Linked DNA regions of Alligator mississippiensis. The protein of the gene in region 4 purifies or fractionates together with the protein of the main gene of each other region. This does not show direct contact. Links are inferred from orthologs where the notes say so. Each region holds a gene or a part of one and is shown on either strand. Other genes may lie near its edges.

Evidence for each region.
Region 1: the proteins of PPP1CB (region 4) and PPP1R12C purify together in Homo sapiens (affinity purification with mass spectrometry; 3 studies listed by BioGRID and IntAct, with this or other methods). This does not show direct contact. The link is inferred for Alligator mississippiensis from reciprocal best matches to the Homo sapiens genes PPP1CB and PPP1R12C.
Region 2: the proteins of PPP1CB (region 4) and PPP1R10 purify together in Homo sapiens (affinity purification with mass spectrometry; 5 studies listed by BioGRID and IntAct, with this or other methods). This does not show direct contact. The link is inferred for Alligator mississippiensis from reciprocal best matches to the Homo sapiens genes PPP1CB and PPP1R10.
Region 3: the proteins of PPP1CB (region 4) and RAI14 purify together in Homo sapiens (affinity purification with mass spectrometry; 3 studies listed by BioGRID and IntAct, with this or other methods). This does not show direct contact. The link is inferred for Alligator mississippiensis from reciprocal best matches to the Homo sapiens genes PPP1CB and RAI14.

What each region holds. Positions count from the first base shown.
Region 1 is NC_081828.1:39,232,958-39,240,226, forward strand, and holds the start of PPP1R12C (protein phosphatase 1 regulatory subunit 12C), read right to left. Parts: upstream 3,016-7,269; 5' UTR 3,001-3,015; coding exon 2,731-3,000; intron 1-2,730. Other genes in the region: TNNT1 (troponin T, slow skeletal muscle), read right to left, coding at 6,038-6,083, 7,008-7,048, 7,196-7,269. UniProt on the Homo sapiens protein: Regulates myosin phosphatase activity.
Region 2 is NC_081834.1:53,548,864-53,556,370, reverse strand, and holds the start of PPP1R10 (serine/threonine-protein phosphatase 1 regulatory subunit 10), read right to left. Parts: upstream 3,017-7,507; 5' UTR 2,994-3,016; intron 2,557-2,993; 5' UTR 2,141-2,556; intron 1-2,140. Other genes in the region: MRPS18B (small ribosomal subunit protein mS40), read left to right, coding at 3,702-3,806, 5,230-5,377, 5,678-5,775.
Region 3 is NC_081826.1:280,132,441-280,140,152, reverse strand, and holds the start of RAI14 (ankycorbin), read left to right. Parts: upstream 1-4,703; 5' UTR 4,704-4,792; intron 4,793-6,079; 5' UTR 6,080-6,163; intron 6,164-7,712. UniProt on the Homo sapiens protein: Plays a role in actin regulation at the ectoplasmic specialization, a type of cell junction specific to testis. Important for establishment of sperm polarity and normal spermatid adhesion.
Region 4 is NC_081824.1:176,137,651-176,144,738, reverse strand, and holds the start of PPP1CB (serine/threonine-protein phosphatase PP1-beta catalytic subunit), read right to left. Parts: upstream 3,004-7,088; 5' UTR 2,777-3,003; coding exon 2,725-2,776; intron 1-2,724. UniProt on the Homo sapiens protein: Protein phosphatase that associates with over 200 regulatory proteins to form highly specific holoenzymes which dephosphorylate hundreds of biological targets.

The DNA.
Region 1 (7,269 bases), on a different chromosome or scaffold from region 4:
GTACAAGACAGGGACAACTTCCCTCCCTCACACCCACCCACCACAGACCAAGACCTGACCACCTCATTATGCAGCAGCAAATGAGCATGAGACGGGACTGAGCTGGAGCCAGCTGACGCTGGCACTCCCCCCCTCCACTGCTTGACACAAGAGGAGCTGTCCCACTCCCTAACCCCCTGAGTAAGCCTGCCCCCAGCCCTGAGGTCAGACTGGGGTCAGTGCCCAGAAGAGAAGAAAGTCCCTGCCACAAGCTGCCCCTAACAGGCCATGCTAGGCATGTAACTGATGGGTTCTGGTTTCCAACAAATTTCCCTTGCATGGGGGAGGCTGGCAGCCAGGACACCTGGGTTCTATCCCCGCTCTGGAAGAGGAATGCATCCAGTTCCATGAGCTGCCTACCCTGACTCTGGACTCCTCTCTGCTTTCAGAGCTGGGCTTTGAACCCAGGCATCCTGATCCTCTCAGTAGGCAGACCTGCTGGCTGGTTTCCACCCCTGCTGCTCTGATCCCCCAGTCCCACCTGGGTGGACTCTGGCAAACAGAAACAAAGGCTGCCCTAGCGATGTGGGGAATTGAGCAGCACGGACCCTGGGGGAGCTGATGCCCCTTGGCAGGGTGCAGGGCTGGGCATGCCCATACAGAGCATAATGGCTCCAGCTGCCTTGATGTAGCAGCACTGTCTGAGCTGGAGGCCTTTCCCTCCTCCCTGCCCCCACCATACTGTTTCCTTTGCCAGAAGCCTCAGCGCCAGGACTCCCTCCCCAGATCTGCTGCCACTTAGTTACCCCCCTCAGCCCTCCTTGCCCACCCTCCATCTGCACCTGCCCCTGGCACCCAGTTCCCCTTCCTTATTCCCACCCCACCACCCACAGCACACACCCTCTTCTGTAACTACCCCTCCTTCCAAGTGCCCCACTCCTGCTCCACGCCCCCCCAGCTCCTGAGGATACTTCCCCTCCAGCATCTGGCACTCCCCATCCCTGCCTCTGGTCCCCAACTGCCTAACCTTAGCCTCTTCACCCCCTTGCTCCTGACCCTACCAGCATGACAAGCCCCTGCCAAGCCCTACCCCCTTGCTTCCCAGATGCACCCTTCCCATGGGGGCTCTTTCTACCCTCCACCCCTCCCCCAAGGTTCCCCTCTGCCTAGATACAATTGGCACCCCCCGAACTGGAGGGATTAGAGGACAAGAGACAACCAGGGCTTCCGCTTGCCAAGGAGCAGCAGTCAGGTGTTCCCTCCCACTGCCCCAACACCCCTGACCCCAACAACTCCCTCCTCCTATGCTTCCCACCCCTCAACTGGCTACCCCTTCCTCCTCACTCCCTGCCCCAACAGCTCCCTACAACTACTCATCCCCCTCCCCTCAGGGCTTGAGCTTGGCAGTGGGGTGCCACCATTCACAACAGCAGTCACTTGCTCCCCACCCCCAACAACCTCAAGGACCCCTTCTGCAACCACCCCTCCTCCTCCTATACCCCAGTACTGTCCCTCTAGCCCTCAGCTCCCCCCAAACCCTTCTTTTCCTACCACCCCCCCCACCCAAAACTGCCCGTTCCTCCTCCCTCTGTTGCCCCTCACCTCCTCCCTCCCCAGCAGCTATCCCAATCCCCTCTCCAGGGCCTGAGCTCACCAGAGGGGATCCCACTTCTAAAAGCACCAAACACTTGTTCCCCCATGCTACCCCCAACCCCAAGGACTCCCCCCAGCAACTACCCCACCCACCTTCCCATAGCTTGAGCTCACCAGAGGGGATCCCACTGCTAACAGCAGCAGCCACTTTGCCCCCACACTACCCCCTCTTCCTACCCCAACTGCTCTCAGCTCCCCTAATAACTGTAACCTCTTCCTACCCCAAGGGGCCTTCCTTCAACCCCCAGCAATGGCCTCTTCCTCCTAGCCCCAGTACTGCCCCCCCCCCGATCACCCTTCTGCCCCAACAGCTCCTTCTTCCTCCCCTAGCACCTTCCTCCTCCTCCCCCAGGCAGCTACCCCACTGCCCTCCCCAGGCCTTGATTTCACAGAGAAAATCCTAGTGCTGACACCGCCAGTTACTTCCACCCCCTCCTGCCTCCAACACCCCTTACCCTGACCCCAAGGACCCCTCCTCCTACCCCCACTCTCCCACGCTCACCTAGTAACTGTGTCCTCTTCCTAACCTCCCAGCAATGACCCCCACATGGCTTGACCTCACCAGGAAGATCCCACTGCTCACACCATCAGCTTCTCCCACCCCAGTGTCCCCAGATCCTCTAGTAACTACCCCCTCCTCCCACCCTACCCACCAGCAATGACCCCAACCCCCAAAGCAACGACCTCCTCCCCCTCCTGCTGCTCCTGGCCCTTCTTCCTTCCCCAGCCTCAACCACCACACCCCACTCAGCAACTACTCCACCCCCTCCCCAGAGCTGGCCCTCACCATGGGGATCCCACTACTCACACCACCACCAGCTTGCCCCCACCCCCTGCCTCCAGCATCCCCCCTGCCCCCAGCTCCTCTAGGAACTGCCCCCACCCCCAGCAATGGCCCCCCTCCCCAGGCCTTCCTCTCCCTGCAGGGCAGAAATCCCACAGTCCCCCACCCATTCACTGCCTCCAATGCTCCCATCTCCAACCCTACTTACTCCAGCCCCTAGGACCTGCCCCTGCCCTCCAGCAACGACCCCACCACCCTCCCTAGGCGTTCCTCTCCCTGGGAGGCAGCAATCCCACTGCCCCCCGCCCGCGCACCTGGTGCAGGGCGCTGATGCCGTCGGCGTTGGTGCCGTCGATGAGCCCGGGCCCGGGGCCGTCGGGCTGGGGCTCGGCCCCCCCCCGTAGCATGGCGGCCGCCTCGGCCAGCTCCCCCGCGGCGCAGGCGGCCAGGAACTCGGCGGCGCGCTCGAAGCGGACGGCGCGGGCGCGGGGCGGGCGCGGGGGGCCGGCCGGCGCCGCCGCCTCCCACTGCCGCAGCTGCTCGCGCCGCCGGGCCTGGGCCGCGGCTGCCGCCTCGGCCGCCATCGCCCCCCGGCCCCCGCCCGGCTTCCTGCCTCGGCAGCCAGCGGGGGCGCCGGAAGCGGGGGGCGGGGCGCCATGGAAACGAGCGGGCCCGCCCCCGGCGCGGGGCAGGCCGGGAAAAGCAGCCGTGGGGCATGCCGGGAGGCACGGGGCGTCACGGGAAAGTGAGTCCCTGCCCGGGCATGCTAGAAGAGCCGGGGAGGAAGGAGTGCGTCATGGGGACAGGAGTCCTTGTCCCCTATTGCACAAAGCCGCCGTCGCGGGGCATGCTGGGAGAGGAGATGTGAGCCACTAGTGGTGTGAGAATGGGATCCCCGTGGGGAGGGCCAGCTCTGGGGAGGAGGTGGAGTAGTTGCTGGGCGTGGTGTGGGGGTTGAGGCTGGGGAAGGAAGAAGCGCCAGGAGCAGCAGGAGGGGTCCCTCCAGAGCGCCCCGCCCGGGGGGCAGGACTGTGTTCAGGTTCTGGGAGCAGAGGTCTGGGCTCTGCCGATGGGACTGCATTTCCCAGGGCCCTCCGCGGAGCCGCGTTTCCCGTTCGCCGCGGAAAAACGAGGGTTTTTGCTCTGTCAAGGAGGAAACGGTGGGGGGGCGCGGCAGGGCAGGGGGTTGGGGTTAGGGTTAGCGTGGCGGGGCAGCCGGGAGATGCTGCTCAGGGGGGGCCGCGCCGCTCGGGAGCCCGAGCCCGGGCTGCCATGTCACAGGCGTCCCCTCCCTCGTACCGCCCGCAAGAATTGGAGCGGCCGCAGCTGCAGCGCTCCGGCGCGGTCAGGACGGGGGCGACAGGGGCTGTGAGTCGGGAGGGAGGGGCATTGGTAGAGCCCGGGGGGATGGGAGGATTGCCCCCCGCCCCCCAGCAATCAGACCCCCCTCCCCAGTTGCCCTATGTTTGGACCTGGAAATATGGTAACCATAGTTATGAATTCCTCCTTCGCAGTGCATCATGGGAAAGGGAGTCCCCTTCTCTTCCTTTCTCGTCTCTTCCCACCTGCTGCAGGGCATCATGGGCAGTGCAGTTTCCCCCTCCTCCCTATCCCTGTAATGCTGAGGCAGGGGGAGATGGGGTGTGACGCAGTGTATCTTGGGAAATTGAGTCCCTTGCCTAGGTACCGAGCATCATTGGCGTGGGGAGTCACTCGTGCAATGTACGAAACAGTCCCTCCCCCCTCATCCATCCACTGCAGGGTGTGGTGGGACTTGCCCAGAGCATCATGAGAGACTGAGCGGGTGTGAGTCACAGCAGTACACCATGGGAAAGGGAGTCCCTTCTTGCCCACTGCTGTGGGGCATTATGGGAAATGGAATCCCTTTACCCCACACCTGTTGGGGCATCACAGGAGAGGGTGCACAGCAGACGCATGGCACTTATGGATTCTCTCACCCTGCCCATGGGGCATCTTGGAAAATGGAGTTTGCCTCTCCCCCCACCCACCAGCTGCCCCTGGCCTCTGCAAAGCATGCTGGAAATGGAGTCCCCAGGCAATTTGGCCATGGGGCCTTAGGGTAGCAGAGCCCTGCCCACTGCCACTCCCCCTCACTCTGATGTCCCATTGTATCATGGGAGCAGAGCCCCCAACCCAGAAGCAACCTGGGGAATGGTGTGTGCTGGCCTGCTGCATCATGAGAATGGAGTCCCCCACCCCAGAATTATCATGGGAAATAGAGTCCAGCTGGCTCAGAGGTGAGCAAAATGCAGCCTGCAGGCCACATGCAGCTTACCAGGCCATTCTGTCTGGCCTGCAGGGCCCCTAAAAAATTTAGAAAATTAATATTTATCTGCCCCTGGCTGCCTGTCATGTGGCCCTCAATGGCTTTCCAAAACTCAGTAAGCAGCCCTCCGCCTGAAATAATTAGCCTCCCCTGAGCTGGAGTCTGAGTCTAGGAAACCTCCCATCCTTGGGCACCTTAGTAGGCTGCAGCTTTGTGGCTCCACATTGCTTTAGGCTGATTCCTAGTGCACCGTCCCTGTCCCACTGGCAATAGCCTGTATTCTCCCCTGTCACCTTCCAGCATCTCCTACTGCCAGCAGCCTTGGCCCCCAGATCTTAGCATTCATGGGAAACAAAGCAAAACTCCTCTCCCACTCCCTGGGACTGATGGACATGCAGTGCCTGCCTGAGTCTACAGGGAGTCTGGGCCCATTGCTGAACGAGCTGGGCCAAGCCCTGTGTATCTGAACAAGGGGCTTATTCAAAGTCCTGATCCCTCTGTATGTTACTGCGGTGCCAGTGCCCTGGTGGGCTAGAGAGGGCATGTGAGGCTGACCTGTGAAGAGCTGCCTTTACTCTGACACTGCCTTTTGGTGGCAGTTATTGAATCCCTGGGGACAGCACAAGCCTTTGTTTCCTTCAACCCTCCAACTGGTGATCCTAGGAACTGCCTAACAGAGCATCAGACTTCCATGTATTAAGGGAAGGGTGGCAGTGGAGCCCACCTGATCCCTCCCACCCTGTTGTTGAAGCCTAGAGATCTGCCACCAAGTTGCAGTCAGCTCCCAAGTGGGTAGGGCTTATTTTAGGGGGACAGGCCCTGCTGTGTGGTGGGAGGAGGGGAGCAATTGGAGGTAGGCAGCTGGAAGCAGCTTAAATCTGTGTGGGGGCAGAAGTGTGTGTGATGGACAGCAGGGGAGCCATGCCTGTGGTAGAGGGGAGGTTTGGAGGGGAATTATTTGGGGGGGGGGGGTGATCTAGAAGACAGTTAAGTGTCAGGGGCCCATCTGCCTAGGGGGGGCTCTGTGTAAAGCCACACACACCCCTCCCCCTCTCAATATGCATACACAATTCCCTCCCTTGCTCCACAAACCAGATCGAGGCTCCATCCATGAGCCAAGGGCAAGGGATATGTTTTATTACATGGCCCAGGTAGTTGGACACAGGACACAGCTCACACCAGTTTCCTGATTTTCCAGATCACACAGGGCAGAATCTCCATGCCAGCAGGAACCAGGATGGGTGGAAGTCAAGGTGGGGATCATCTGGTTGGATACAGGAGGGTGGATGCAGGAGGGAAGGGTGGCAGGGGCGATCTGCCTGAGGGCCTGGCGTTTATTTCCAGCGGCCTCCGAAACGGCCCTTGCCAGGCACCTTTTTGCTATGGAGAGAAAGGGGAGGGTTAGAACAGACCTCAAGGCCCCCAGATTCCTGTCCCCCAAACATACCATTGCCCCAACCCAACCCTGGGCCCAGCTGATCTCAGCATCTTCCCCAGAGCAAGCCAGTTTTGGTGTCAAAACCCTCTGGCCTCACCAAGCTCATCTCAGTATCAGCCCATCTCCTCCTTCCCTCATGGGGAAAAAGGGTTGGGGGATGGAGGAGGTGGTTGGTCTCTGGCCTGGGTGGTCCCACACACAACAGTGTGTCCTTGTTGTGAGCATACTGGGCTGCATTAGGAGAAGTGCAGCCAAGAGATCAAGAGAAGCGATTCTTCCCCTCTGTTCAGCACTGCTGAGGCCACATCCGGAGTACTGTGTCCAGTTTTGTGGCCCCCACTACAGAAAGCATGTGGACAAATTGGAGAGAGTCCAGTGGAGGGCAACAAAAATGGTGAGGGGGCTGAGGGAATTCATGTATATGAGGAGAGGTTGAGGGAACTGGGTTTATTTAGTCTGGAGAAGAGAAGACTGAGTGGGGATTTAATAGTAGCTTTCATCTACCTGAAGGGGGTTCAAAAGAGGATGGAGCTGGACTGTTCTCAGTGGTAGCAGATGACAGAAAAAGGAGCAATGGGCTCAAGTTGCAGCAAGAGAAGTTTAGGTTAGATATTAGGAAGAACTTTCCCACTAGGAGGGTAGTAAAGCACTGAAACAGATTACCCAGAGAGGTTGTGGACTCTCCATCCTTGGAGTTTTTTAAGACCTGGCTAGACAAAGCCTTCACTGGGATGATCTAGTTGGGGACGGTCCTGCTTTGAGTAGGGGGTTGGACTAGATGACCTACTGAGGTCCTTTCCAACCCTCATTTTCTATGATTCTATACTCTCCCATAGAGAGGAAACAGCTACATTGCAACTACTCACAATTTCTGAGCGTGGCTGATGCGGTTGTACAGGACATTTATCTGCGGGGGGGAAAGAATGCAAGATGCATGGGATTGCCTCACCAAGCCTGCCCCATCCCCAGAGCCAGTCCCTTCTCACAGGGCCGGATCAGAGCCAGTGCCCCCTAAAGGGGACAAGGCCCCATGCCCATTCCCCATCCCCTTCACCTCATATTTCTGGCGCCTGAGTTTTTCCATGAGGTCAAACTTCTCCGATTCCAGCTGGTAAATCCAATCATGCA
Region 2 (7,507 bases), on a different chromosome or scaffold from region 4:
CATCGGCAGGTGTCACTGCATGGAGTTGACAATGGAAGAGAATAGGAAAAAACAAAAACAAAAAAAAGCGAAGTGGTCTGGAACAGAAATGAAGGTTGTGAAATGTAATTAATACCAGAAAGGTTTGCTTACCAGGTGAACTGTGGTTGTTTCCCTCCCTTTGATGAAGTAATACAAGTGCGGGCTTCCCTTTTTTTTCCTAATGATCACGTCTTTTCCTAGTACATTGTACAGGAACTATGCACTGTGGAATGTGGCAAATTAATTGAATAGAAGACTTTACCTTTTCCCTGCCCGACAAGACAGTTGGTGTGTATGTGGCTGGAGGAGATGCACATATCTCCCCCCAGACCCCCCACAACATCCTTGACCCACATTTGTGGGTTATGTACAGCGCCTTTGGAGTCCAGTGATAGCATTTCACATCTGTTATGACAAATCACAAATTATATTAACTGATCAAGATGAATTCTCCCAACCACCGTCCCTTTGGTTAAACCTATAGTTACAAGTGGAATTCGCAGGACTGCAGGAAACACAAGAGACTGTTTTACGCTAGCAGAGAAGCTTGACAGAAAACAACTTAAGTTACAAATACAAGGAAGTCAGGAGAGCAGAAGGTCCAAAGTCTTGGGTTATGTTGAAACCTACAAAAAAAAAAAAAATCTGGCGGATGTAGGCTCGTACTTTGCACTTTATATAGGTTTGTGCCTATAAAATTCCTGTAGACGAAGAAGCTGGGAGTGGAATTTGTTAGATCGGTATAGAAACGGAGGGGCAAGGGTAAGTGCCTCCCCTCCTCCCCTTCCCCTTCCCTTGCCAGGAAATGCAAGCAACTCAGTGGGAGGAGTTTGCTTGGAACTGGTTACATCACCTCCCTGCCCACAGCCTTGTGGGTTGCTTTGTACATGAAGAAAGACAAAATGAGGCAGGCGCCATTTTAGGAGCATAAGGGCGAAGAAACAAGAAAAAACCCCAAGGCTTAAGTATCCATTAAGAGGACATGTACAGTAACACAGCCCCTACCACACATACACACACACACACACTCCCCCCCCCCCACAATTTTATCCTATTATCCCAAACCTACAAAATTCAATTACAAAAACAAATAAAACCCCACACAATTACAAAAAAATAAATTCAGGTTCGGTTGCTACTGGGAGTCAAAGATTCAATACAGAATCTCTTCCCACCACTCTCCCATGACAATACATCCTGGGGAGGCTAAACTGTGTCCCGTCAAATACGGGAGGGGCAGAAATGGAAGGTAAAAATGGGATCAACCTGCAAAACATAAAATAAAAAAAATAAAATAAAAGGCTGCTTGTCGGAACAAAGACAGGCAGACAGAACAGGTTCGCCATATTTGATTAAGGGGGGGGAATATGAAGCTAGAATTACATTTTTAAAAGCGCATTTAAGATTTCATTGTAATTGGAATCTATGAATTAACAAAATCCTTGTTTAAAAAAAAAAACATTGAATTTTAAAACAATATTTAAGCTACTAAACTTCCTTGCAATCTTTATTTGTAGATTGCCACCCAAATTTAGAAAAAATCCTTTTCAATTTCCTTTCCCCTGCTACTCTCACTCTCTCTATATACGCACATTATTGAAATGACAGGCAGGGCTTAATTTTTTTTTTTTTAGTCACACAAAAATTTTAACATTTACATTGAATTTAAAATAAGAGGATTTGACAGCATTGCAAGGCTAATCTTTCAAACCAATCCCACCACTAATACCAGAAATTGCTTTCCCTCGTTACCTACAGCCTTACCCTGCAATCTTTATGTACAGATTGCTCATTTAAACAACCTTGTCTCCCACACAAAGAAGCGATACTTTATCATTTAGTCACCGCCATCTTTTGCATGGGAGCTCATTAACCCTTCATAGTCCTAAAGACGATGGATTATTCTAAGATACCATCGTAGTCCTTATAAATACGCATTTTTTAAAAATGCTTTAATCTCAAGGGTTAACAGCCTGAAACAAAGTCTATTGTCCTCATAAACAGACATACGCCTATTTTTGGTCTCTCCCTGTAATTAGTTTCTTTGGCACAACGGAGGAATTTTTTTTTTGGTTTTTTTTTTTTTTTTTGGTCAGTTGGTTGAAAATTCGACACTTACTATCCAATTATTTTTCTCGTCGACAGCGCTTCAAAGTTTGGTTTTGGATTAAGTTGTGTATTTTAAAGAAAAAAAATATTTTTTTTGTTTTTGGTCATGGCTTTAAAAAAAATACAGCAACTTTTTTTGGTTTGTGGCTGTTTGTCGAGATAAAGAAACGAAAAAAAAGTTGCTCGATTTAAAAAAAAAAACAAAAAACAAAAAGAGATCAGGGCAGGTTGTTTCTAATTATTATTTGTTTGGTTTTTTTGTATGTTTAAGTGGCTGTTTCCTTCAGGTCACAAAGAATTTAAACGGCTTCCCAAGGACGGTCAAAAATATGGTGGCTGGTTTTTTGTGTCTTCCAAGGACCGAGTGGGGGGGATTTTCTCTGGTTTCTCTTGCCAAGCTCGACGCAGTTTCAGGACCAAACAAACCTGGAACAGGAAGAAAAAAAAAGAGGGGAGCGCATAGATTAGCATTTTTTGACAGAAATGGATCAAAAAAGGTCATTAAAAAAACAAAACCATAGCACAAACCACATCATCTAACTCATTAAGTTTGAAAGGTTTCCTTCCCGAGGCCAAAAAAAAGGGTTGTTAAAGGGACAATTTGGAAGAGGAAATATATATATATAAATAAAGGGCGGGGGGGTCAGGGAGAGGGGGAGAAAAGGAGCAGGTTTTTTCTGTGCCTTGGGACTTTCCTGACCAACCCTGACCCTCCTTTACTCGAAAGACCCCAGCTCCCTCCGCCAGACCCGAGGGGCTCGTCCTCCACGGGCCTCTGTAACGCCCGAGCTCGCCCCAGGTGGAGGTTGCAGCCCCCCCGCCCAGCGCCCACAAGCCGCGTCGCAGCACGGCTCTGTACTCACCTCTAACCAGACCCCAGAATGGCCGAAAGGCGCGCGGGCGGCGCCTTTTATAAGGAGCCCCGCCCCTCCCGCCCCGCCCCCCCGGCTCGCGCGGCGGCGCGAGAACAAAGCCCACTTCCCGCTTCCCCACCCGCCCCGACTGGACTGATCCTCTGAAACAACGCCCAAACCGAAATCGGAGGCCGCAGCGGAAAGCCTCTCGGCACTGGAAAGCGGCTGCCGCCTTCCAAAACCGTTTTTAAAATCGGGAAAAGTTGTGACGCAGTTTCGCCGGGGCCCGGTGCGCATGCGCGCGGGCGGGCGCCATTTTCGTGGCGTGGGGCGTGGGCTAGGAGGCGCGGGTAGGTGACCGCTCCCCAGCGCTTCCTCAGCCTCGTTGCGCAAGCGCAGCAGTGGGCTGCTCCGGGCGGGGCCAGTGCGCATGCGCGACCACCGCCCGCTATTGTCTTGTGTTTGTGGCGCAGTTTTTATTCCTTCTTGAGCACTGCGCATGCTCGAGGGTGGGGAGGCGCCTCTGGGGGGGGTTATCTCCAGTTCTCTACGAAATGCATGATGCGTTTCACAAGTTAATAATTCTTCCTATCCGTACTTTATCACTAGGGACTAAGAAAATAATATAGTAAAATTGGAGTAATGACCTTTGACCTCAGCGATCACGTGCGACAAGATGGCGGCTACCGGGACAGCTGAGGCTAGAGCTCAGCGCGCATGCGTAGTTGTGCCTCTCTTAACATGGCGCTGGCCATTAGGACCATGCTTTGGCGAAGGGCGATGAGTAGCCTGAGGCAGAGAGGGCGGCTCCTGTGGACCCAGGTGAGGAGCAGGGTTCAGGAGCCTGGCTGTGGCCTGACCGCTGCCAGCCGTGCTTCAGTGACACCTGCATAGTAATGTCATTGCACACCGCGTGGCAGGGCCATTGGGGGGGTGTCCCCTTCCTTGATGTCATCTCGCCTGGATACGTAAGAGGACATCATTGCCACTGCCATGGTTGACGTGCAGAGGCGCTGCCAGCTGCTCTGTAATGTCTTTGCCCTCAGGGGATGTGTCACCTTGTCCCTGCCACCAGGATGGGTTGCTGTGGTGCTGGGATACTGGTGCCTCGGGCGCAGCATGTCATCGTGATGTCAACACGTTACGATGGTGTCAGGCCGCGTTGGCTGACGTGACACGATGTGGGGACCAATGACAAGACAAGGAGCAATAGTCTCAAGATGAAGCAAGTGATGTTTAGGTTGGATATTAGGAAAAACTTTCTCACTAGGAGGGCAGTGAAGCCCTGGAACAGGTTACCCAGGGAGGTGGTGGAAGCTCCTTCCTTGGAGGTTTATAAGGTCCGGTTTGACAAAGTCCTGGCTGGGATGATCTAGTGGGGCTGGTCCTGCTTTGAGCAAGGGGTTGGACTGGATGTGACCTGAGGTTCCTTCCAGCCCTCATTTTCTGTGATCCTGTGTCTGTGTCATCCCCGTGGATGGGCAGGCTGACCACTTACATGGTGTAACGATATTCCTTGTTCTAAGCTGACATGCCTATATCATAAGTACGTTTTTGGCTGCTCCTGCAACCTATTTCTTCAGCATGTGACAACTTCATCACATCATTAACTTAGGTATTGGAAATCCTGTATGGCAGATTGCTGTATGATGTGATGTGATTGTGATAGGCCAAATTATGGCACCATGTATAATATTGTTGTATCACATTGGATTGCAGTGCTATGGTCCATCACACTGCCTTGCATTCTAACTTCAGTGTTTCAGAGTGTTTGGAGATGTTTTCATTGGCGAGCCATTTCAGAATGACAGTTAAGGATGCTGTGAGACTCGAGGCAAAAACAGCTATGGTGGAAACAATTTCTCGCGACTGTTGCCTTACACTGTCCAGTAGCTCCTTGCAGCGACACCTTAGGTGCTAGTGGTTACCCTTGGTGTGTTTTGTTTTGTTTTTAATTTTCCAGGGAAGTTAACAGCAAAACATTTTATGTGTTGTTGAACCTATTTGATTAACCACCCCCCCACCCCACCCCCTGCAAAATCTCCCAGAACTTTCTCAGCTCTGTAGGTCAGCTTTTTCCATTCAGGGTAAAACTCTCAGCTCTTGGCAAGCAGTTCCTATGTGATAGTTCTGTGCAGCTATCATCAGCTGTCTCACCAAAGAGGTAACTACATTTCTCTGTTACATATCAGCCTTTGGTTCAGAATAACCTGGTCACTTCCTTGCATGTCTAATTGTCTCTCAGGCTTTACCCAGTGCCTCACTCCACCTCCAGCTCCCGCAGCTCCGGGCCTACAGCACAGAAACTGACCCAGCCAAATCTGAAGAGCCAGTTGCTTTTGACACTGAATCCCGCTTTAAGGAGAAGCCTTGGGAGTATCTGGAGACAGAAGGTATGAGTTTAGGGCCTGTAAATAGGTCAATGCTAGGCCTATGAACTTGGCACCGTTGAAGCAGAAAGTTTGGAATTAGGGCTCTTGTGTTCTCTTGGAGGGAACTGATATCTAGGAGTTAGATAGCTGGGTTCTCTTCCCATCTCTGAGCACAGCTTGCTGTGTAATAACTAGCTAGTCTCTCTCTTAATATCCACATAGTGGAGCTAAAGCTATCGAGGCTATGTTTATTCATATACTTTAGAATCCTTAGGGTCAGCTCGCCTTAAGGAATTGTTAACTTTCCTCTCTTCTGCACAGAATACATTGAGAAATATGGTAACAATCCTGTCTGGTTTGGCTATCGACGTAACCACCGGGGCTCCATCGGACCTCAGAAGACACGCAAGAAGTGCATAGTGAGTGCAGCCCCTTCTCCCTGCCAAGGAAGTGTGCGCCTTGGATGATAGAGTAGGGTCGAAAGTAGTGCTTAGTTCCAACACCAGATGATTCTGCATTTGAAATTCAGCTGCTCAGTGTGAAGAGGAGAGGTGGGGAGAAGGGATGAGAAGTACCAACAGCAAAATCTTGGCAAATCGGAGAGGTGGCTTGTAGGGACATATAGAACTGAAGCAGACTGGGAATCAGAATTTCTGGGTGTAATTCTTAATGCTGGAATGGGAGAGTGGGGTCTAATGGGTTAGAGAACAGCCTGAGAATCAGGATTCCTGGGTTTTATCCCAGCTCTGGGAAAGGAGTGGGCTTGAGTAGCTTAGAGTGCAGAATAGAATAGAACCCATAACACATGGGTTCTGCTTTGAAAGTGGGACTGGACTGGAAAGCTCTAAGGTCCAACCAGCTTTGGCAAGACATAAAGTCAATGAGAAGGGGTAGGAGGTTTGGAAAGTCTGAGTTCAGGTAAAATGGTAGGTGACAGTAATTGGGGAGGACATTCAAGAACAGGCAGACAATCCAGGGGGATCCAGAGAGTGTAACATACCTGGCAGCACACCTGTGCAGCAGTCAGTGACCCAAAGGACCCACAGGCACCTCTGGGTAAGGGGATGCAGTGGGAAGGTGACAGAGGTGGGAAATTGGACAAGGGTGCATACAATAGGTGTTCCTTTGTCTAACAAGTCTTGAGCTGAGGACCGCTGTTCTGGAGAATTGACTTGTATTTCTATTTATGCTACTACCTGCTGGGTGAGTTGGAAAATCACTGCCCCTCTCTGTACCTCATTTTCCTCATTTGTCAAGTAGGGATCATGAACTGTTCTTTGAGAGGAAGAGATGAAGAGAGTTAGGTGTGATTATTTTAACAGTATGGTACAGAGGGCCTAAGGCAGAAGTAGGCAACTCCCGGCACATGTGCCAGAGCATGAGATGCAAAGGCATTTTGCTTGGTACGCGTGCGTCAGGGGAAGGGGCCGTGGCTGCGTTGCCACAACAATTGGGCCCCTCGCAGCACCCTCACTGTCCACCCCTGGTATGCCAGCATCATACAAGTTGAGGTTGTGGGCACTTTTGGCACTCTGCCCAAAAATGTTGCTGACCTCTGGTCTAAGACATGGATTGACTCCTGACCTAGAGCAGGGCCAGGCAGAATTCAGCCTGTGGAAAGACTTTGGCCCACAACTGGTCCCTTGGTCCAAGGCATTCAGCTGGGCTGGGATGTCTCTGTGGCTAGACTCCATTTCTCAGCAACTCTGGTAGCAGCAGATCCTTCCGGCTCTGGCCCCATGGAGACCGGCTGGGACCTGCATGGGCGGGGCCCGAGCCCTGGGCTGAGCTCACAGCCTTGGTCCTGGCCCACCCCACGCAGGGTGTTATGGTCCCTGCAGTGCCTGCTTTAAACCTCCTGACCCAGCCACGATGAACAGTAGCCAGGCAGAAACTGCTGCTGGGCACAGGGAAAAAGTAGGACCCAGCCCTGGATGCAGTCCCTTCCCCCTCACCAGTGCCAGGCCCTTCTTACTGCAGCTACCCAGAGCCCATGCTGGTGCTGCCCTCCACCTGGTTCCAGGTGGCTGTGGCCAGAAGGGCCCATCAGTGGCAAAGTGGAGGCAGCCATACCTACTGCCAGATCCTGCTTTTTCCCAGTGCCCAGCAATAGCTTCTGTCTGGCTGCTGCCTCTGCACCCAGGCCACCGA
Region 3 (7,712 bases), on a different chromosome or scaffold from region 4:
CAGAGCAGGGATTGTCAATTTTTTGTCTCTCACAGCATGGCGTGCATTGGTGGTGCTAACAAAGACTAGACAGTCAAATAGTAAGGGATTAGTAGTCTGCTCTGGATACCCTGAAATGGAGGCAAAGGAAGGACACTGAGTAACTCCACTCTGTCCTAACAAGTTATTAAAAAAATAAAAGAGCTGTGATGGGAGCAGATATAAAGTGCTTATGCTGTAACCCTCCTAAACTTATTTATTAGAGACAGAGCCCAGCACTTGTGGGAGACATCTGTGAAAAGGGTAAAGAAAATCATTTTTGTAAGCATAGAATAACAATGGAACAAAAACATGTCACTAAATCTGAAAGCAAACTTTCTTAATGGCTCCTAAGGAGAAAAATGGCTCAGGATTAGCAAGACAAACTATATTTGGACTGGATATAATAAAACTTGAACCAGTCCAACAAGAAATGGGAGTGTGGCAGAACAGTGAGAGACCATTTTTGGTCTCTGAAATAAAGATTAAGGAGCTTAAACAGAGGAAGGTGAAGCAGTCCAAAATTCTGCTTTATTTTGTATCTGGTTTCTGGAAGGAGATATGATCCATATATATGCAGCCAACAATTAACACAAACTAGGTAAAAAAAACCTGTTAACATAGTATAAGGAAACTGATGGTTAGTTCAAGTCACCTATGCTCTTTTCCCTGTTCTAACCAGGCTTAAGGTCTACGTGGTCCAAGTATAGCTTGGAGAAGCATAAGGGCTGCTCTAACTTACACTTGGCTGTGCTAACTCCCTAAGGGCCTTTTCCAGGAGCTGAGATTAGCCAGTACAGGAAAATATCCTTCTTGTCTCTGACATGCATCCTGTGCACAGGAATAAGGGGGTGAGCTGTCAAGACAGCCCTTATCATCAGTACTGTGTGTCTGAGAAGCATACAGCAGCAATATGATTCCTTCTTGCTCTGGCATGACTCAGAGACTAGAATCTATCTACTGGCTGTAGCAATAACTCTTACATAGCGCTTCCTCCTTATAGATCTCAATATGCTTGATAGAGGAAGACATGTACATCTAGGAAGTGTGAAACAGACAGTTGAAAGTGGCCACCCAAGATGCTGCAGCAGCTCAGTAGCATAATCCAGAAGAGAATCCATGCCTCCAGGTTCCCAGTCTTACGTTCTGTCCTGTGGCGATGAAGAACTGTTTTGAACCCATAAAATACTCCTATGTCAAAGCCCTTGCAGGTGGCAAAGCAGAGCAGTGGTAGCCCAGAATAAATCTGCTGTCCCTCTGTGGTATGGAAGAGAGGCTAACAGCTCCTGTGTATGGACCTCTTGCTTGCCAGCTGCCAAGTGAACTGGAAATGGCCCTTAGGTTGTTAAAGAAAAATAAAAAAGAGATTACTTTTAAACAGAATGAGGTTTCCAAAGCCATCAGCTATTTTTAGGAACCCAAAGGGGAACATGTGGAGGAAACTGGAAGCACGGTCTTGCATAAAAGGGTGCTAATTTAGAGGGTCATCAGACAAATTAAGATAATTTAAGAAATCTAAGCAAACTGTGTGTGGGTAGCTTGCAAGAGCACTATCCTGAACTATAGTTTTGAGAAAATGAACAATACTTCACTCTGTTTAGTCAGTAATCTATTCACTAGATCACCATCAGTGAGAAGTATGCAATCATGAAGTTTGGCAGACAAGGTTCTTTGGGTAAATCTGATATCTTTGACTAGACCAACTCAAATAGTGGGAAAAATTCTTCTTAGCAAGCTAACAAACACCCTTATTCAGGCTGAGGAAGCGTCTGCAGATGGTCTGTGCTCTTCCCGGATAGAGTGGTAAAGCAGCCAGAGGCCAGTGTATATGCAAGGAAGCCAGTAGATTAAAAAAAAGATATTGGATTTACCCAAAGAACCTTGTCTATGTTCTTAGACCAAAACAGCTACAACCTACACCCCTCAATCATGATGTGTGAATTTGCTGTCGACTGCAAGTATATTATTTATTACATACAACCACACCCCTCACACATCAAAACTCATCACCCCTTTGTCAATCCAAAGATGATAGGATAAATTAACAAAAATCAAAATATTTAAAATTTAAGAGATCTGATTTGCTACATCATTACACCAGTTTCATGCTGGTGTTTCTAAATCTGTTGGTTGGTCTGAAATTGCACTGTAACCAGATTGTTGGAAGAATCTGCTAAAAGAATACATAGTAATTGTTAACTCAGCCATAGTGGATATAGGCAATGTTTTCACAGAATCCTGAAGAAGTCGGGCTGGAAGGGCTCTCCAAAGGTCATCTAGTCCAACCCTTGCCTCAGGCAGGATCACCCCTCTACAAACCATCCTGTACAAATCCATAATCTAAACTCTTAGTAAAACTATCGTGAACCCTGACACAACACGAGACATAATACCCTAACCTGCCACAGGTAAAGTAGGAGAACCAGGCCACCCTACATCCTGCTTCTGTAAATGTTTGTCAATATATGCTCAAGAGATCCCACATAGAAGGCCACACCCTACAGAGGGGGAAAAACCCCCACAGTCCATACCAATCTGACCACAGGGTAATATTCCTTCCTGACCCCAAATACGATGATCAGTCAGACCTGGAGCGGGAGGGGCAAGACTCTCTAACCAGGAACCTCTGGCTTTTAAGTCCCACCAGAAGCATTGGGACACCCATCAAAATCCCCAGCCTTGGCTGCAGCCAACACCCGGTGCATCTTGAGGAAGGCTAAAATACACCGTGACACAGGTAGCAGAAAGGAGAGGAGGGCACAACCAACAAATATGTACCTTTATTTTAAAGGTATATATTTACAGCAGAAACAGGAATAAACAAATACTACAATATGTAATGCTGTAGCTAACACTGCTGTAAAAAAAAGGTTTTCTTATTTTTCTGGGTTTCAGGAGTACTTATACCCATGACTTTGTGCTTTATAAGAAAGAAAAGGGGCCTGGTGCATTTGTGACTATGCTCTCACAGTTAAAACAACTGTCACTGCACCCAATGGGGATCACCAGTTCATTCAGATCAGCGCACTTCCCCGTGACACTGGTGCGGTCTGTGTCACACCACTATTTGCGGCTGCTCTAACCACAGCCGTATGGAGAGGAAGTGCTCACTTCCTCCCAGTGCTGTCCACTGTCTGAGGCTGGTGGATCCTCAACAAGAGGGAGATGGTGCTGGGGTGTGAGAGGCTGGCTGGTGTTACCAGTCCCTGGCTATAGTCGGTGGTGGCTTTAGGGTTGTTGGGGCTCTTGGCAAAACAGTCATTTGCGGCCCCTTAGAGGCATAAGTTGAAGAAAGAACAGCTTTAAATAAGTTGGAGAAAGAAAGAGCTTTTTAACATTGAGTTATATTCTAGGTTCATTGCATCTTCTATGTTGGCCCATCTACAACACAAATTCCTCACAGGGCATAAGCTGATAGCCAATGTAGGGCCCTGGGCAGTCATCCGGTTTCTCCTTCCCTAAGGCTGCTGCTGCTATGGTGGGGCGTGAGCTGCAAGACAGAGGAAGGCTGCAGATCCGGTGCCCGGCGGGCCCCTGCTGGCAGCATGGATGCGGCCCTAGCTGGGGAACAGGGAGGGAGGGAGAGGGGCTTCCTGAGGGGGAACCAGCTGTGGCACAGGGCAGGGCAGGTGGGGAAGCTCAGGGCCGCTGGTCTCTGTTCCAGGAGGGCCCAGCTGTGGGGCCCAGGCAGGGCCGGACACAGGCGTGGGCGAACCAGCCACCCGCCCAGGGCCCAGGCGGAAAGGGGGCCAGAAAAGGGGGACTTGGAGGTCATGACTGACCACAAGATGGAACATGAGCCACCAATGCGATGCCACAGCTGGCAAAACAAACAAAACCCTGGCTTGCATTTATTGATCCATCTCAAGCAAGACCTAGGATGTCATCCCCTGTTGTACTCAGCCTTGGTGAGGCTGCAGCTGGAGTACTGCATCCAGTCCTGGGCCCTGCACTTGAAGAAGGACGTGGAGAAGCTTGAGCGAGTTGGGAGAAGAGCCACGCGCAGGATAAGAGGGCAAGAGGACAAGCCCTATGAGGACAGGCTGTGAGACATGGGGCTCTTCAGCCTGGAGAAGCAAAGGCTCAGGGGGACTTGGTGGCTGCATGTAAGTATATAAGCACCAGGATCTGGGGGAATGTCTGTTCACGGGAAGACGAGGTCTGACGGTCACAAACTCCTCCAAGACTGTTTCAGGCTGGACATAAGGAAAAACTTCTTTACTGTCCGAGCCCCCGGGGTCTGGGACAGACTCCCTGCAGAGGTGGTGCAGGCACCTCCTCTGGACTCTTTTAAGAGACATTTGGATGCTTATCTTGCTGGGATCCTTGGGCTCCAGCTGACTTCCTGCCCCCGGGGCAGGGGCCGCACCCCGCGCACCCGCAAGGTCCCTCCCAGCCCTCACCTCTATCAAATCTGTGAAAAATGGTCATTTTTCGATGATGATTATTACGAGTATCGCTGGCGAAGGGGGGCTGGCACTGAAGTGACCCCAGGACCACCGCGACCTGGTCAGAGCAGGGCAGAGCCCCTTCCCCGACCCGCGCGGGGCCGGGCGGCGCACGCGGCCGCGAGGGCTGGTTCCCGCCCCGCCCCCCACGCACCCACGCGGGCGAGGGGCTTCGCGCGGCACGTGACTCCTCCAGACCCCCCGCCCGGCGGCGGTCACGTGGCCCAGTGATGTCACGGGCTCCCGGGGGCGGGGCCCGTGCTGCTCCGGCGCCTGCAACTACTTTCCCGGGGCGGCGGCGGCGGAGCCGGTCCAGGTCCCACGCGGTGAGTGTGTCCGGCGCGGGGCCCCGGGGAGCTCGCCCCATCCCATCCCGTCCCGTCCCGTCCCGCGCTCCTTGCCCGAGCAGGAGGCAGCGCAGCCCGTCCTGCCCCCCGGGCCTGCTCCGTCCCTGGTCCCGCCAGAAGTGTGGCCCCCCGCGGGGTCCCGGCCCGGCCCGCCCGTGGAGGACACCTTTGTGTCGGCTCGGCCCGCGCCTCCCCGCCCCGCGCTCGTGTCCCGGCGCCCGCTCCGGGGCAGCGGCGGGGCGGGCGTCGCTGGAGCCGCGCCCGGGCTGTCTGGCGCTGGCTTTCCGGCCGGTCCCCGGGCGCGCTCCGGGAGCAGGGGCCTCCCAACGACCCCTCCCGGCCCCGCTTCAGAAACGCACCCGTCCCCTCGCGATGCCCAGCGCGGCCGCCCGCCCGGCGCGTACACACCGGCCACATGGCAGGGGCACGAGTCCGCGGGAGACCGCTGCTCCTGCTCACCTGGGCGGGAGGGTTTTTAGCAGCACGGAGCTCTTACGTTTTGCCTCCTTTCCCCACTGGGGCAGGTGCTCGCCAAGGAAGGGCTCCCAGAAGCGGGTGGAAGTTTTTTGTTTTTCTTTTAAAGGCAGGTCTAGATTGTGGTGGAAGTTGCTGACACCGTGTTAGCTCCAGCTGCGATAATGGCCCGCTGTAATTAATTCATTCTCATCGTGCTCGGTTTTTTTATTGCCTGAATGATTAATAGATGAAATGACATTAATTCCACCAATAGATTTTGTTAAAAAAAAATGCAAAGCTTTAACCTATTGTCTTCTGCCTAGATGGCAAAGATTAAAATAAGCAAAGGAGAACTATTTTTCGAACTTTAACCATCCAAGTCGGGGGTTAGCAACCTTTCAGTAAGGGGGAGGGGGTGGGCACGAATTAACAGCACAGAAATGAGGAGGGCCCAAGTGTGCAGTTTGATTGTGGCTTGGATCTTCAACAGCAGTGTGACACCGGGTGGCTCCTTCACAAAGCACAGGTACAGGGACTTGCCCCAGCTCCTTGTGGTCTGTTAGCAGCAGGAAGGAATCTCCCAGCAAAGCAACCCCCTTCTTGCAAACTCTAGGGAGAGACCGTTTCTTGCCCTGCAGACCCAGGGGGAGTTGGGGGCAGGCACCCTTGCTCCCACACTGATTAAAGGCGGGTTCCCCCATGCACGCCAAACCACAGCTGCAGGTTTATACCTGCAGAGCGTTCCCATTGCTGCAGTCTAATAAGCGCAGCCCCACACAGACTGTTCCCTGACTGCCTCTGTTTCATCAGGGACATGCTGGAGCTGCTGTTCCAGTCCCTGCTGTTACTGCTGATTTCCAGTGTGTGGCCTGCCAAGCTCTGGGCGAGCAGATGGTGAGTGCTCTGGATGTGTGAAGGAGGCGTGTTGGCCACGCGGTCCATTCTGCACCATATATGTGGCAATAGCTGCAGCAACAGGGACTAGAACAGGCGCCAGCATGTCCCTAACCAGCTCTGTGCCTGGTGCAGAACAGCTGTGGGATGCGTGGAGGAACCACAGTTGCAGCCATGTAGGTCAGTCTGTACCCCGCACTTGGTTGCAGCAGTAGGAACTGGGACAGAAGCACCAGTATATCCATGACCAGCCTGGTACACGGTGCAGAAGGGACTGTTCAGCTGCAGCTGTGAAGCTGTTTTGCACCATGCTGGTCAGGGTGGTGCTGGTGTGTCTGTCCCAGTCCCTACTGCTGCAGCTGCTGCTAGGCACATGGTGCTTGCAACTCTTCCATATGGCTGAAAGCTCACTGTGCTTTCAGGTGCTCCTTGTGATCAGCAGGGGTCTGGAGCTTGCTGGACTGGATCCAGCTTACTGGTCAATGTTGCTGACCCTGCTGGCTTTGGTGACTTAATTTTTTTTTCCCATCAGAAGTTACAAATTATAGTCCCTGGCAATAGCTCTTCTATTCTCCACGATGCTTAAATGCTATGTAAAGATATTGTTGTATATTAGATACTGAAGAAGGAACATATTGCTTATCCCAACCTAAGTAATAAGTTATGGCAGAAGCTATAATTACTAAGCTGCTTTAGACAACCATGGACGTCAGGAAAGATGATTGGGTTCAATTCAGTATTGTCATTTGTAGCTAGAAGCTGATGGAAACCGTTGTAGAAGACTATGGCAGTGATTCACAAAGGGTATGCCGAGGCACACTAGTTTGCCATGAGGGTGGCAGAAATGTGCTGTGACAGATGGTGCTTTTCTTCCTTTTTTTTTTTATATGTAAAGTTGGGGGGACATAGCCTGCGTGGAGAGCTGGACAGTGTAGAGTGCAGTGTGACTGTGGCCCTGGGGTGCCGGCGGGATGCGGTAGAGGCAGTTTGTAGGTGTCTGATCCTGGTGCGCGTCCTTAGTGGGAAGCTGCACGTGCACTGCAGCCAGGGAGCAAGGGGCTGGGGGAAGATGTGGTGGCACTGGGACTGGATGCCTGCGGACTGCTGCTGCTGTACCCTGCCTGTACCCTGGGGTCACTGGTTGTGCTGTATACCTGGGCACACAGCTGCATCCTGCTTGGCATGCCTGCTGTTCTCCCTCACACTGGGTAGGTAGGTGCAAGTTCTGTCCCCACTCCCTCCTCCCCACTTCCCAGGTCCAGCTGATTTGTGGGGGTCTGGGAGCCCTCTCACCTGGCCCCACCCCACAGATCTCCAGGGTGCCCTTGCCAACAAGTATCTGTGCCCCACTCCTTGCCTCAGCCATGCTTGTAACTAGAACTGTGCAAAACACCATCGTTTCGTTTCAGCATCCCTTTTGCCATTTTGGAGGGACAGTGTTTTGTTTTGTCGTTTTGTTTAATTTCGAAGTACTGTTCTGTTTCGTTTCATCAAAACTGTTTTGCTGTTTCAATGCGTTTCGACGTTTCACCCATAGGCTCTAACGGGG
Region 4 (7,088 bases):
AAATAAAAAGATCTCACCCCCCCAAAAAATCCTCGCTGCTTCTATTGGAAATGCAAATTATACTGAGCAAACTACATAACTATTCTTGCTAGCAAAACTGCATCTACTGGGGCTCTTGCTAACAGAAGTACATTGGTAAGACATGGGTTTTTTTAACATTTGTGACAGGGCATAAAAAAACTACAACAGACTTCAACCAGTAAGTGTACAGCCTGAAGCTACACGGAGTTCTGAGGCAAAGACCATCTTTTTGATATGTCTAATGCAAATGGGTTTTGACAGGGCTGTAAATTCAGCTGCCATATAAAACACCCTCCCTTTAGACAGATAAAAAGAAACTTTAAAACTCTGTGTTTACAAGTTAAACCTATTAAAAAAAATGAAGATCTGTCAAAAAACATTTCAGCCGAAGAGCAATTTAACAAACCATTTTTCCCCCCACTCAAAACACATTTTACACTGATACTTAAAAAAAAAAAAAAGAGAGAGAGAGAAAGAAAGAGCACTACCCAGCAACACCATACTAAACTGTAAACTTAGTAAGCATCTTTGATTACATAAAAGAAACCTCTGAGTTAAGATGCCGTTACTCAAACTGTTACTCATCTTATGGCATACTGGTAGCACAGAAAGTGTAAAACAGAAATGTAAGAAAAAAAATCCTCACCCACACCAAGTAATTTTAAAAGCTAAAGATGATACCGTGACAAATTCTCAGGACAGATTCTCTTTCTGAAGCAAGGAAGAAACTTAAAAGAACCCCTGGTTAGCAGTATGGTAACAAAAATGGGGGGGGGGGGGAGGAGGAGAGGAAGAACTCTTACTGCTACAAGCCAGACAGGTTTTCCTTACCTTTTTTGCATAATTTAAATTAAGTAAATCAAACTTAAAAACAGCTTCAGAAAACACTGACTACCTACAAACAGCACAACACACATTTGAACAAATTTGTCTTTAAAAATGTAATAGTTTTCAAACAAATACACTGCCATTTTTAACACAAATTTGCTTACTACAGTCTAGACTGGTCCAAACCTAGGATGGCTATGATCTTGTTTAGTTGTTATATGAAACCCCTGGAAACACTACGTCTTACCAACTATTTTAAATATGGATATGCACTTTCTTTGGAAAGCAGCTACTGTATACATGGAGTTTCATGGTTTACTTTATTAAGATAAATGATAGCTAAGAAAAACGAGACAACCAAGTGCTTAAAAAGTGGTTCTACAATATTTTAATAAACTGTATCAATTAAATAGGAATACAAATAAGCAAACTAGAAAAAAAATAGATTACTACCCTGGACAAAATTTACCAGTGCCCCTATGTATGGAAGATGTATATATGCAGGCCGGAAAGTCTTTAATCCCTGAAAATGGAGCTTATGCTGGAAAGTGCATGTTAAGTGGTCACAAAGGGGCCTGTACAGAAAATCTTACTTGATAAACATTCTTAGATTTCAAGCAACTCAAAAGGTAAGTTGTCATCTGCCCAGCCAACAAATATTTACACTCCACCGAAGGACAAATACAAGCATTTGAAATGCCTCCTGCAACAATACACTAAGCACAAACATATTAGCAGAACTACCCCCAACAACCCTCTTGTGGCCAGGCGCACGCTCTCCATCTATCAGCACCCCAGATTTTCACTGTTTACTCATTATGAAGTCAGACAACAACCTGGCACAGCCCCCCCCCCGTCAGCCCCAACAGGACGGGGCACAGATTACAGCCCAGGGGCTCATAGTACAAAGTCCAGATCTTTTACCTGCTGGATGTACAGCTACCTAGTCCGTGGCATCAGACTAAAACCACTTGCAAAGAAACTTATGTCCAATTCGTTTTGCATTTACATATAATGGACACATGAGATTTATAAGTATTTAATTAAAAATATGTTATGAAGAATTTACTATTGCATACATCTTAAATTCTGTGGTTGTTGACTGTAGCCGTGTTGGTCTAAGGACATAGGCAGACGTGGTCCTTTGGGTAAGTGTAATATATCTTTTTTTAGACCAACTAAATAGTTGAAAAATTGTTCTTTGCAAGCTTTTGGGCACAAACACCCTTCTTCAGGCAGAGGGAAACTACTGGCATTACGTGTTCTCCAAGGCAGAACCAACACCCCTGGCAGCCTTGCCGCAACTCCTATTCACTGCCCATCCCTGTGCAACCGTGCACCCAACCCCTCTGCCCCAGTGGCCTATTCTTGCAGGTGGGTGGCAGGGTGTAAGGCAAGACCCCCCCACCCCAACAGGGGGAAGCTTTACAACAAGGATGTTTGGGGCCTGGATTTAACCCTTTAGTGGACCCTACACAAACACATTCGTGGGCCCCTTCTTAATACTGTGTATATTACTTTTTAATTTTCCCACTCCAGAATTATAATAGGTATAGAAGAAGCACAAGCAGGCCCCTTCCTCACTTAGGGCCCTAGGCATATACTTGGACGTTCACCCAGCCCTGAGAATACTCAGGGCACAAGGAGGTCCCCCTCGGCAAAGGAGAAGACAGCAACAAATTTCCCACCATCTCCAGGAGGATTTATTCCCTCATGCACCGAGGTCCCCCGCGCCCCCCCCCCCATCTCCCTGAGGAACTGCCCCCCGCCCGCACACACACTGCCCCCCAGGTGTGGCGGGGAGGAAAGAGGGGATTCGCAGCCCCGCCCCAGCGGGGGGAGGGAAAAGGGGGCGCTGGGGAGGGGGGGGCTCACCTTCCAGCAGGCGGGTGATGAGGCTGTCCACGTTCAGCTCCCCGTCCGCCATTTTGTGTCCAGCCGACTCGGCGCCGGGCGGGGTGGAGAGGCCTCGGCGAACGCGGCTTCCCCCCGCCCCGCGCAACCAACGGCCGCCCGACTGCTCCCGCGCTGCCCCCGACTGTGCCCGGCTCGCGCCCTCGCCGCGGAATGGGGGCGGAAGAGAGAGAGAGAGAGAGAGAGAGAGAGAGAGAGAGAGAGAGAGAGAGAGAGAGACAGCCGCCCCTCCTCCCCGCCTCAGAGGCCGCCTCTGCGCATGCGCCGCAAAACCCCCTCCCGCGTCTCTTGCCGCGGCTGCTTTGCTCCAGGCACTCCCAGAAATGCGCAGCCGCAGGGGAGGGGGCTCTTCCCTCCCTGTCTCGCGGCTGCCTCGCTTGAGGGCCAACTGCGCAGGTGCAGAGGGCTCCTTTTTTTTTTTCCAACCCTCCTCCCGCTAAGCTTGAGGGCCGACTGCGCAAGCGCAGAGGGCTTTTCCCTGACCACCTGTTTTCCCGCTTCGGAGCCGACTGCGCAGGCGCGGAGGGTTTTTTTTTCTGCTCCCCCCCCCTCTTCCCCGCTTTGCTTGAGGGCCGACTGCGCAGGCGTGGCGGGCTGCTGCGCTTGCGGTACTAGGATGAGTGCGCATGCGTGTGCGGCTTTGCTTTTTTTTCTCGGTAGCAGGCGGGCCTGAGCGGGGCGGGGCAGCCCTCTGCTCTGCCCGCGGGCCGAGTGCACAAATAGTAGTGTCAGTGCATAACACAGTGTGAGCCCTGTTTGCTGCCTCCTGTTCGCACTGCAGCACCCCGATGTGATGCCACGCAGGGCGAGGTTATGCTGCCTGGCAGCTCAGTGGTACTCCCCTGACCTGATCCTTTGAGCTGGCACCACGTCTGTGCATCCTGCGGGCTACTTGTGTTCCCTTCAGGTGGGCCAGAAAAGAGGAATGGGAAGTCGCTGTTGAAGGGCTGCTATTAGATGCCTTAAAAATGGTGGGAACAGGTCAATTCGGTGACTGTTCGTGGCACAGCCCTGACAGCTCCACATGCTGAAGGAGCTGTTTGGATAAGTTGCATGTCCTGGATGGGGCCAGTCCTGTGGGCATGCATTTTATCCCAGTACACCGCACTGCTGGTTTGGCTGAAGTGCAGAAATTGGCTGTGTGTTCACGCACACATTAGACACCAGGAGTGGGCAAAATGTGGGCTGAACGCAGCCCACCAGGCCATTCTATCGGGCCCACGGGGCCCCTAAAAAAATTAGAAAATTAATATTTATCTGCCCCTGGTTGCCTGTCATGTGGCCCTCAATGGCTTACCAAAACTCAGTAAGCGGCCCTCCGCCCAAAATAATTGCCTGCCCCTGTCATACATGCAGGGGTGCGCAACCTTTCAGTCAGCCAGATGAGTGGCATAGGGCCAGCCCACAGGTACCCTGATCCAGCCCTGTGCTGCCCCAGCCTGATATACCTGATCTAGTGCAGAGAACCACACTACAGGTTTCCCCTGCTTTATACAGGTTCTCCATGTGCGAATTCACTCCTATGCGATGACCTTTTTATACCAAAAATGTGTTATATGCGAGGTAAATTCACCCTTACATGATTGGTGTGGTGGAAGCTCACATTCAGCTGCTTTATGCGGTGCAAGGGATTTTTGGTGCTTTCCTTAGTACCTCAGCCCCTAAAAATGTCACTGCGTGAGAATTTCTCCTTATAATTAAACAGAAGTTGCCTCAAAGCGTAAGGGTTGAAAATGTTAGACCCCCAACAGGCTGCTTATTGACAGGTGCACCCTTCCTCCTGCACCTGTCAAAGCTCATAGTTTGTTGTAAAAAAGTTGTTAATGCTGGAATGCCAAGCTAATCACTAAACCAATGATTAACACAGTTGTCAAAATCTATAGCCTAATCAGAAAGGTCTGGGCTGCAGTGTGAATAGGACCTTTAAACACTATATTCTTTTTCCATTCCTGAAATATTTTTCAAGATTCATTCTTGAAAACCATTTAAGTATATGCACATGCCAACAAGTGCTTACTTGCATGGGCAGAAAAATGCTTTTAAAAGTAGCAGTTAAACTCTTCTCATGAAAAGAGACATAACATGCTCATCTACATATAGCCAGCTGAACAGTAGTTATTTTTTCTGGTGCTGAGTAAACTGTAAATTATCTAGAAATATCAATCAGGACTTGTAGTAGAGATGATATCTTTTATTAGACCAACCAGATTTTTGTAAAAAAAAAAAATTATTTAATTGCAAGCTTTTGGGCACAAACATCCTTCATCAGGCATTGGAGAAAAAAAATTGTAAAAGTTCTCCTGGGTAGAAATATCAAGTCACTATTTAGATGACTAAATATAGAATCAGACTAGATGTCTCTAGGAACTTACATTTGAATTTTTCCATCAATACACACCAACCAGAAAAGTCATGTTATCTTAAGAAATCTTCAGGAATCAGTTTTCACATCATGATCAGGGAAAAGCAAGTCTGAGCAACATTTTAAGAAACATCCTTAAGGCAAGGTGATGAATAGGTGGGAGACTATGTTGGGGTGCCCAAACACTAACATGAGGAGAGGCTCTTTTGATATGTAGGAGGAGGATGTATTTTTGCTGAGTATACTAAAACAAGAGGATTCAGAATTATAAAAAGACTCAAAGTTTGACTTTTTATTCCCATTAGCAAACGGCAGATAATAAAATGTCATTTCAGCTCATCTGCTGAAAGCATATATGCATATACAAACTCTTTTTTAGACCTTTATGTTAACATTGGGGGCTAAATGACACTTGGAAATCTTTGTTCATTTTTTGCTGAGAGTTAGAAAGCCTGATTATTTAGCTTTCTTTTTTTTTTTTTTTTTTTTTTTTTTTTTTTTTTTAACTGGTTCATGGCTACCAAATGCAGTAGATGTGCTACCAGAGGTTGCACTTTTTGTCCCCTTTGCAATTCACGCTACTAAACTTCCTTGAATGTTAGTTTAGGCCAGGGATGTCAAAGACACAGCTCATGGGCTGGATCCAGGCCATGAAGCTGGATCATTTGGCCTGCAGTGCTTCCTGCTACAATGCAGTATGCACTGGAATTGGCCTTGCAAGCCACATGTGGTACACAGCCTGTCTGGCATGGGCTGCACATAGAATGGGGCTGGTCTGGGATGCGCACTACATGCAGCATCTGTGTTGGACCAGCCCTCCACACTAGATCCAGGGCCAGTCGGTATGGGGACGCAAACCAACCCTGCATGCTGAATCTGGCCCATAGGACTGGGTTGGTGTGGGCACCACATGTGGCATATGCCCCAGACCAGCACTGTGTCCAGTGTGTAGCAGGCATGCCAGACCAGCCCCACGTACTGCATGCTGCACACAGGACCAGGAGGTGTGTGCATGCAGCATGCAGGTCTGGAGCTAGTGTTTGCATTACAAGCAGTACACATGGTGTATGCTGCATGCAGAGGCTGCACTAGACCAGCCATGAGAGCTGGATCCAGCACATGGGACCAGTCTGTGGGGCTAATCCAGCATGCAGGCTGGCCCCACGCCCATACTCTGGCCCATGAGACTGGGTGCATTTGACTCCCATGGTTTAAGCTATCATGACATTAAGCTGTGACATGATGATGTTGCTTGGTAATAGGCCATTGTATGACAACAGGATAGAGATGTCACATTGTGACACAGTGGTACAAAGAGCCCAACAGTACAAAAATCCGAAAGCCAACAAACCTAAAAGGTACATTGAACAAAACCCAAATTGTGATAGCTTTATATAGTAGGCCCTTTAAAATGTTTCTTCAATGTTTCAGTGGAATGCCAGAAAAATCAAAGGACAGGACAAGCAGAGATGCTGCAACAGAGAACCCACAACAAAGACTGAAGATAGGTGCATGGGGAAATCCCTTGCTTTTTTATTTTCTTGATTTCAGTTACAAACTCTCTTTTCATGCATCTTCCTTTTTATATTAACGCCATATCATGTGCTAAACCAAATAGCTAATATATATGCGTTCTTGAAAAGCTCAGTTAAGTACATTGGGTTTGATTTTCTACTCTTGTATTATAATTGTTTTATAATGGGGTGATTGCATTAAATCAGTGGAATTAACTCAGTACATACAGTAATTAGGCTCATCATCTCCCACAAAACAGAAAGAAATGCTGCATTTGGACTTAAAGCAACATTCTCATTGACCAGGAAGACATGAAAAGCCACTTGCAGCAAACAGGGATGAATCCCAGGGTATTTTACTGGTGTTCTGAGTGGAGTTAAGCATGTACTGGTGCTTCTGGCAAACTTCCACTGATCATTCTCCTCTTTCTTAATTTCCTTTCTGTTAT